Linked DNA regions of Oryctolagus cuniculus. The protein of the gene in region 1 interacts with the protein of each later gene in a pairwise test. Links are inferred from orthologs where the notes say so. Each region holds a gene or a part of one and is shown on either strand. Other genes may lie near its edges.

What was found.
Region 2: the proteins of TBL1XR1 (region 1) and ARL2 interact in binary tests that used the Homo sapiens proteins (3 or more experiments, as listed by UniProt). The two-hybrid records come from large-scale screens. The link is inferred for Oryctolagus cuniculus from reciprocal best matches to the Homo sapiens genes TBL1XR1 and ARL2.

The regions. Positions count from the first base shown.
Region 1 is NC_091435.1:102,883,084-102,886,892, forward strand, and holds part of TBL1XR1 (F-box-like/WD repeat-containing protein TBL1XR1), read left to right. Parts: intron 1-532; coding exon 533-654; intron 655-786; coding exon 787-861; intron 862-3,484; coding exon 3,485-3,612; intron 3,613-3,809. UniProt on the Homo sapiens protein: F-box-like protein involved in the recruitment of the ubiquitin/19S proteasome complex to nuclear receptor-regulated transcription units. Plays an essential role in transcription activation mediated by nuclear receptors.
Region 2 is NC_091432.1:6,521,875-6,526,384, reverse strand, and holds the start of ARL2 (ADP-ribosylation factor-like protein 2), read left to right. Parts: upstream 1-1,548; 5' UTR 1,549-1,634; coding exon 1,635-1,782; intron 1,783-1,968; coding exon 1,969-2,188; intron 2,189-2,268; coding exon 2,269-2,431; intron 2,432-4,510. UniProt on the Homo sapiens protein: Small GTP-binding protein which cycles between an inactive GDP-bound and an active GTP-bound form, and the rate of cycling is regulated by guanine nucleotide exchange factors (GEF) and GTPase-activating proteins (GAP).

The DNA.
Region 1 (3,809 bases):
AGGAGCCAGCAGCTTTCTCTGGGTCTCCCACACAGGTACAGGGGCCCAAGCACTTGGGCCATCTTTTACTGCTTTCCCAGGCCATAACAGAGAGCTGGATGAGAAGTGGAGAAGCCGGGTCTCGAACTGGCTCCCATATGGGATGTCAGCACTGCAGTCGGTGGCTCTACCCACTACACCATAATGCCAGCCCCATCACTTTTAATCTTACCATTTTGCAAAGCAGCACCCAAGTTTTGGTGCTAGTAATTTATAGAGCAAACACTCAGGAACCCCAGTCTCCCAATTAAGTAGGTCAGTGTGTTTTCTGTTAGGGTGCATCTCATATAGAGATAACTAAATGGAAAGTAATGCTTATGATAGTTTGATAGTTTTATTTTAAAAATAAATATTTTTTCTTAGTATCTTAAAAAGTATCAAAATGTTAGGTACCACGTAGCATGCTTAATGTCTTAACTATGGTTCAAAGCTAAAGCTTCTGGACTTCAGTATATGTGGAATAAATGCAAACTTCAACTTTGTTCCTTTCCAGCACCAGCATTGGATGTTGATTGGCAGAGCAACAACACCTTTGCTTCATGTAGTACGGATATGTGCATTCATGTCTGTAAATTAGGACAAGACAGACCTATTAAAACATTCCAGGGACATACGGTAAGAAACCTTTTCCCTCCCTGTTACAGGGATTATGACAAGTGATATTTCAGAATAATTTTGACATGTTTCTGTTTAATATCTGCACAGTAACCCAATCTAGCAAATGAAAATGTGAATATTTATTTTTAGAATGAAGTAAATGCTATCAAATGGGACCCAACTGGCAATCTCCTGGCCTCCTGCTCTGATGACATGACTTTGAAGGTAATTAATGTTTAATGGGGATGCGATGGGAGTGTCACACAGTGTGCCTGCTTTGACTGTTTAGAATATTTCTTACATTGTATGTTTAAGCCTTGGTGAGAACTTTTCCTGCTCTCTAATGATTAATTATTGTTTTGCGTACTTTAATTTTCTTTTCTGGGATATATAGAATTACTTGAATATAGCAAATACATTGTATTAATAGTCATACAGTTATGATGGCATATTAATCAGCATTCTCCAGAGACATAGAACCCATAGAGGGGACAGACCAATCAATCCATCGTAAGAGATTTGTGAACAATTGGCTCACAAGGTTATGGTCGCTGATAATCACATGCATGTTCTGCTGTTTGCCAACTAAAGACTCAGAAAACTGCTGGTGAAACTCCAGGCAGGATCCATGGCCTAGGGGTCAGGAATACCAGTGGTTAAGTTCCAGTCCCTGGAAGCCCAGTATCCTAGCTCAGTGGTCAGGCTGCCGTTCTGGTTTGTTCCGGACCTCTCTGCATCTGATCATACCCAGCTACACTGGAGAGAGGGTAGTCTGCCTTACTTAGTCTAGTGATCAAAACCCAGTCTCATCCATAAACACCCTCACAAAACCACACAGAAATAATGTTTAGTTAAATCTCTGAGTTCTCTATGACTTTCTCAAGTTGACTTATAAAATTAACCCTCACAGGCAGTAAGAAATGTAACACTATGTATTGGTTCAATTAAAGTTTATTTTCACATGTGAAGATCTGACTGACAAATATTTAAGATCTTTGAAGCATTTGTGAATTTATCTGAAATTCTGTGAATTGTATCAATTTGCTTTTGTTGTGATGTGAATTTGTATCTCCCTGGCTGGGAAACTGATAGAAATGAGTTGGGAGTCTCTGAGTGACTGAGCAAGCCTACATGCCAGCAGCCACGTTTTAACCTGCATTTATTATTTTTTTCTTGTCTGACTGAAAGCAAAACTGTTGCTACCTTTCATCTAAGCACATTGTACCACAGTTAGGGAAAAAGAATTTTGAAGTAAAAAACCAGCCAACTACTAATCTCCAAAATAAATGAAGCCTGCAGTTCTCTTCTGTAACAGATAACTCTACTGAAAACAGTTTTATCTTTGACTTTGTGATACCAGACTGCAGATGTGATAACCTTTACAGATAAAATAATCTTGAGGGAAAACTGCTTTTCCTCCTACCATGAATGGACTGAATGTAACCTTGGGAACTCTCTGGATTTTTTTTACCCTAAGTACCTGCTGTTTGTTCAGTCAGATAGTTCTCAAGTGCTGGCTCCCTTAGGAGCATTGCTAGTAAAAAGGCTTTTCTTAATGCTTTTATTTTGGAGTTTTCCTTGTATGTACATATATTAGTACTTATAAAATGAAAAATTTGTAGAAAAGCATATGATATACAAGGAAATGGAAGCCGGTGCTCGTTGAGCCTTATGTCATGGATTGAGTTGCAGCTGCAGAGATAGATTGGAACTTGAAATTTTAAGAGAGCTTTTCTGCATCTTAAGAATAAATAAAGGTCACATAGGATTTTAAAACAAAAACTAGGTGGATGGGCAAGCTGTAAGAGGGCCATTTTCTGAGAACAGGGAATACCTAATTGAGTGAGAAGATCATATTGAATTTTAATAATGTCGGAGTAATGCAGATGGAGAGGCTTCATGGGTCTGATTCTCTCATTACAAAACACCTACCTAAGCTTCCAGAGACTGAGGAGTGACCAAAGTGGAAAAGAGAGAGAATGTGTAGAGAAAAGTACTTCACAGAGACACTGGATGGGAGTGGCCAACAGTATCAAATGCCATTGGAAGGAAGTCTAACGAAATTTGTTCTGGAAAAACATCTTTTGAGTTCATTTACATGGGGTTATAAATGCCTGAACTGCAAAAACACTATGATAGTACCCCATTATTTTTTGTTAGTTTTATTGTAGGAGTATGAAGTCCAGCTAACTTTTGTTTCCCTTCTGCTGTTGGAGTTGATGTGCTTGTGTTTGTCAAGACATCTTATGTGTTTCCCCCATTCCACCTTTCAAGTCTATATTGATACATCCAAAAATACTCTGGATGTAGGTTTCTATTAATTTTTGCTCATAATTAATGCAGATTTTTTAACCTGAACATAGCATTTTTCACCTCAGCAGAAGCTTATTCTCTACTACTTTAGCTCTATTGCATGTGTTTTCATCACTTGTTCTGTTCGAGTCATCACATTATTTTGTAAGCTGTTTACTTATTTTCACTTCATTACAGAAAGTAATTTCCGGCTAGTTAATTCTAAGAGCAATATATAATGTCTGTTATTTAAGGGACAGCATCAAAGCAGTCCCTTTAACATTTTGATGTTGAACTTTGCAACTTTTTAATCTACCAGAAGTAATCATGGAAAAAAACTATAATTCAGTCTTCAAACCTTACAATAGTGAATATTTTTGAAGGCGACAAAGATAATATCATTTATTCCAAAAATATTAAATATATTCTGTATTTAAATTACAAATATTCCCTTAATTTTGGTTCTATCACTCATATTTTGGGCTGGCAAGATAGTATATTTTGAATGTACTCATTATACTGAACCATAATTATATACATTTTCTTTTTTGTTTAGATATGGAGTATGAAGCAAGACAATTGTGTCCATGATTTGCAAGCACATAATAAAGAGATTTATACTATCAAATGGAGTCCAACTGGACCAGGGACGAATAATCCAAATGCCAACCTTATGTTAGCAAGGTGATACGATATTTCTGTTTTACTCTTCCTTTTATGAGTCCTTTACAAATAAAGCTTCTAATGAATTTGAATTTACAAGTAGGGAAGATCCTATGACATGGCAGTGTAGATCTTACAAGCATAAATAAACCCACCCACTGAGCCTTCTTGGCTGTCACAGGGTCTTGTCCTAGTAAGAAACGGCAATCAAACCCAGG
Region 2 (4,510 bases), on another chromosome or scaffold:
GGGCCGGAGCCGCGGGGTGGCGGGCGCCCTGCCGGGTGGGCGGCGCCAGGGTGCGCGGACGCTCTCCCGTCCCAACTGCCCATTGTGCGTCACGCACGTGGGCCCTACCAATTGCTCCCGGCGGGGGGCCGCGAGGAGGCCGTACCACTGGCTCGGGGCGGGGGGCTCCGTTCCGAAGGCCCAAGGTGCGGGCCTGAAGCCGAAGCGCCCGGACACGGCGTCCCGAATGGAAGGGGGAGGTGGGGCCCGGAGGTGACTGGACGTCGCCGTCCGTCGGGCGGGACGGAGCTGGGGGCCCCTGGCCGCCCCGGCTCTGACCTCCCACCCCCCCGCGGCCTGTCCGAGGGTGCCGGGCCCCGACCCCGCCCTCGAGTTCGAAATCCCAGGGGCGAGCGGGCCCCGCCCTCAGCTCGCGCGGCCGGGGGCGTGGACGCCGCGGGTCGTTTCGCGCTTGTGTCCGACCGTCCGTCTCTGCTGCGGTCACCCGTTGCTGTCCCCGGGCCGAGGGCTCGCAGGCCCTGGCTGGGGAGAGGAGACCCTGATGCGTGCATCTGTGTCGGGTGTAAAGAGCCCCGGGAAAGGCCCAGGGAGCTGAGCGCCACTGTGTGCGCGCCAGCGTCCTAGGGGCTGGGGTAACCCAGCAAAGCAGACCCTGCGTGGCGGAACGCTGTAATGCAGGGAGGAGCAGGGTGCTGAGTGGCCCGTGCTCGGAGGACCAGGCTCGCAGAGTGACAGCTGAACACGCAGAGCTGGGGGAGGTGGGCTGGGGGGGGCAAAGGGAGCAGGTGCGCCCAGAGGGGACCCCAGAGCCGCCTCCCCTGGGGCCTTCTGCTTCCTGACAGTGAGGGGTGCAGAGCACGAGCTGAGGTTGGGGAGAGAGACTGGTGGCTTGGGCCACGGTGTGAGCGGTGAGATCCTGAAAGGGGGGGGGGGACGTTCTGCCCCACTCCCCGCCCCTGGTGTCAGGTTGGGGAAGTGAGGCCCGACTGCCAGGTTCCTGGTGCGAGCAGTTACAAGGACCAGGGGCCATTGGCCGAGGCTGGGAGGAGCCGGGGAGGAGCGCAGGGGCTGGGAGGCAGAGTTCTGTTCTCCCCTGAGAGAGGCCCCAGACTTCCCGGGAAGGGCAGGTGGGCAGGTGGGCAGGTGCAGGTCGGGGGTCTGTGGAGGACACCGCCCAGGGAGTGTATGCAGGCCAGAGGTTGGAGGAGGACCAGGAGCTGGGGGTGGGGGCCCCTGGGACTCACCTTGGCGAGCAGGAGCCAGAGGCTGGTGGGTGTGGTTCAAGGATGAGGGAGAAGGCAGGGGGGTGGACAGGAGCTGCCTGCAGCCGAAGTGAGGAATGAGATGGGGGAGGGGCTGAGAGCCACAGCGGGGTCGTCAGCTGATTTTCAGGGCCTGGGCCTGGGCTCAGCAGAGGTGCTGTCCTCACCTCCAGTTTGTGGCCTTGGGTCACTCAAGGTCGGGAGAGAGACGGCTGAGTCGGGGACCTGCCCGGCCACAGCCCCCTTGCTCTGCCAGGTACACCGAGCTGTGGGAATGACTCCTCTGCTGTGAGCTCACACATCCATTTGCATGCATTTGGAATATTCACACATCCATTTGCATGCATTTGGAATATTCACACATCCATTTGCATGCATTTGGAATATTCACACATTCATTTGCATGTATTTGGAATATTCACACATTCATTTGCATGTATTTGGAATATTCACACATCATTTGCATGCATTTGGAATATTCACACATCATTTGCATGCATTTGGAATATTCCAGAAGCAGGTGAGAGTGTGGCTGTCCCCCGGGGCCTTGGCAAAGCCGGTTATTTGGATTTGGGGCCTTGGCTCAGGGCACTTCGCGTCCTCCCCAGTAGAGTGCGGGCCTGGGAGGGAGTGGCCTTGGTCCACCAGGACCCACGCCGAGGAGGGCCCGGCCAGAGGAGATGCCTGATGCCGCCGCGCCTTTCAGGGGCCAGCGTGGGCACCACTCATCTTGGCACAGGCGGGGAGCGGTCGGTCGGTCCTCGGGGCGCAGGGACGCAGGGATGCGGGGACTTCCTTAACCGGGCGCGCCGCAGCGGCCTGGACAATGCCGGCAAAACCACGATCCTCAAGAAGTTCAACGGGGAGGACGTGGACACCATCTCCCCCACGCTGGGCTTCAACATCAAGACCCTGGAGCACCGCGGGTGGGTGAGCAGGGCCCCGGCAGGGCCCGGAGCCGCAGAGGGGCCTGGCTCATCCGCTGCCGCCTCCCTCCCCTGCGCAGGTTCAAGCTGAACATCTGGGACGTGGGCGGCCAGAAGTCCCTGCGCTCCTACTGGCGGAACTACTTCGAGAGCACCGATGGCCTCATCTGGGTGGTGGACAGCGCTGACCGCCAGCGCATGCAGGACTGCCTGCGGGAGCTCCAGAGCCTGCTGGTGGAGGAGGTGCACGCCGGGGCCGGGCAGGGGGTGGGGGGTGTGCGCGAGGGGCTGGTGGAGGAGGTGCACACCGGGGCCGGGGAGGGGGTGGGGTGTGCGCGAGGGGCTGGTGGAGGAGGTGCACACCGGGGCCGGGCAGGGGGTGGGGGGTGTGCGCTAGGGGCTGGTGGAGGAGGTGCACGCCGGTGGGGGGGAGGGGGTGGGGGGGTGTGCGCGAGGGGCTGGTGGAGGAGGTGCACGCCGGGGCCGGGCAGGGGGTGGGGGGGTGTGCACGAGGGGCTGGTGGAGGAGGTGCACGCCGGGGCCGGGGAGGGGGTGGGGGGGTGTGCGCGAGGGGCTGGTGGAGGAGGTGCACGCCGGGGCCGGGAGGGGGTGGGGGGGTGTGCGCGAGGGGCTGGTGGAGGAGGCGCACGCCGGGGGGGGGGGGGGGGGCGGGGAGGGCTGGGGGTGTGTCTGCATGCGCACAGCGCTGGTGGGGCGTGGAGAGAGGCTGCTGGCCGGGGGCGGCCCTCCTCTGTGAATACATGTGTCGGGTGTGTGGACACCTTTCTCCACGGGCACCCAGAGGGACGCCTGGGACAGACCTGTTCCTGCACCGCACCCCACCACGGGAGGCCCATGGTGCCATTCTGTGCACTGCGACCTGGGCTCCTGACCCCCGAGGGCCGCCGGTTTTCTCCTCTGAGCTTCAGCGTCTGCCCTGAAGCAGGCATGACGTCACCCACAGGACTGGGCTTAGCGAGTGAGGCTCTGGGGGGCGGGGGTGGGGCGCCCTACTGTGTGCCCTCAGGAGAGCCACCTAACCGCTCACTTCCACATCCCGAGATGATCTTTGAAAGCAGAAAGATCTACTTTATGTTATTTGAAAGAGAGGGAGAGACGGAGAGAAAGATCTTCCATCGCTGGTTCACTCCCAGATGGCTGCAGTGGTTGGAGCTGGGCCAGGCTGAAGCCGGGAGCCTGGAGCTCCATCCGGGCCTCCCGCGTGGGTGACAGGAGCCCCAGCACTTGGGCCATCCTCTGCTGCCTTCCCAGGCGCGTTAGCAGGGGGCTGGACCGGAAGCGGAGCAGCCGGGACCCTAACCAGCGCTCCCACGCCGGATGCTGGCGTCCCAGGCAGCAGCTTTACCCAGTGCCGGCCTCCCGAGCAGTTTTCTTTAAAACGGTAGATTTACAGAAGAGTTGAGGAGCTGGAGCCCTCACCCCTTCATAGCTCGCGTGGTGCGAACATCTTCCGTAACCCGGTCATCTGTCAGCCAGGAGCGGAAGGCTGGGGACGGCGGTCCTGTCCCTGCTGTTGGACTCAGCCTCGCGCCGCACTGCACGCAGCTGAGAGCCAGGGCTCCTGGGGAGTGGAAAGGCAGATGTTGGGGGGGGGGGGCACAGATCATGGCCGGCAGACTCTGAGCGCACGCCCCACAGGCCAAGGCCTACAGGGTGAGGGCGATGGTGTGGAGGACGCCCGGGGAAGACGCGGGTGGAAATATCTGGAATCAGAGGCAGAGTGAGGCCTGCTGGGAGTGGCACGTGAAGGGGGAAGGCAGCCTGCGGGGTCTCTGTGGGTCAGACCATCGGAACCACAAAGAGGGCCAAGGATGGTCTTGTCGCGGGGTCTCTGCAGGTCAGACCACCGGAACCACGGGGGGGGGGGCAGGATCGTTCTGTCCTGGGGTCTGTGGGGTCTCTGTGGGTCAGACCACCAGAACCACAGGGGGGCCAAGGATGGTCTTGTCCCGGGGGTCCACGGGGTCTCTGCGGGTCAGACCATGGGAGCCACAGGGGGGACCAGGATTGTTCTGTCCCGGAGTCTGCCGGGTCTCTGCGGGTCAGACCACCGGAACCACGGAGGGGGCCAGGATCGTCTTGTCCCGGGGGTCCACGGGGTCTCTGCGGGTCAGACCACCGGAACCACGGAGGGGGCCAGGATGGTCTTGTCCCGGGGTCTGCGGGGTCTCTGCGGGTCAGACCATCGGAACCAAAGGGGGGACCAGGATCCTCTTGTCCTCGGGGGTCCACGGGGTCTCTGCGGGTCAGACCATGGGAACCACAGGGCCCTAGGATGGTCTTGTCCTGGGGTCTGCGGGG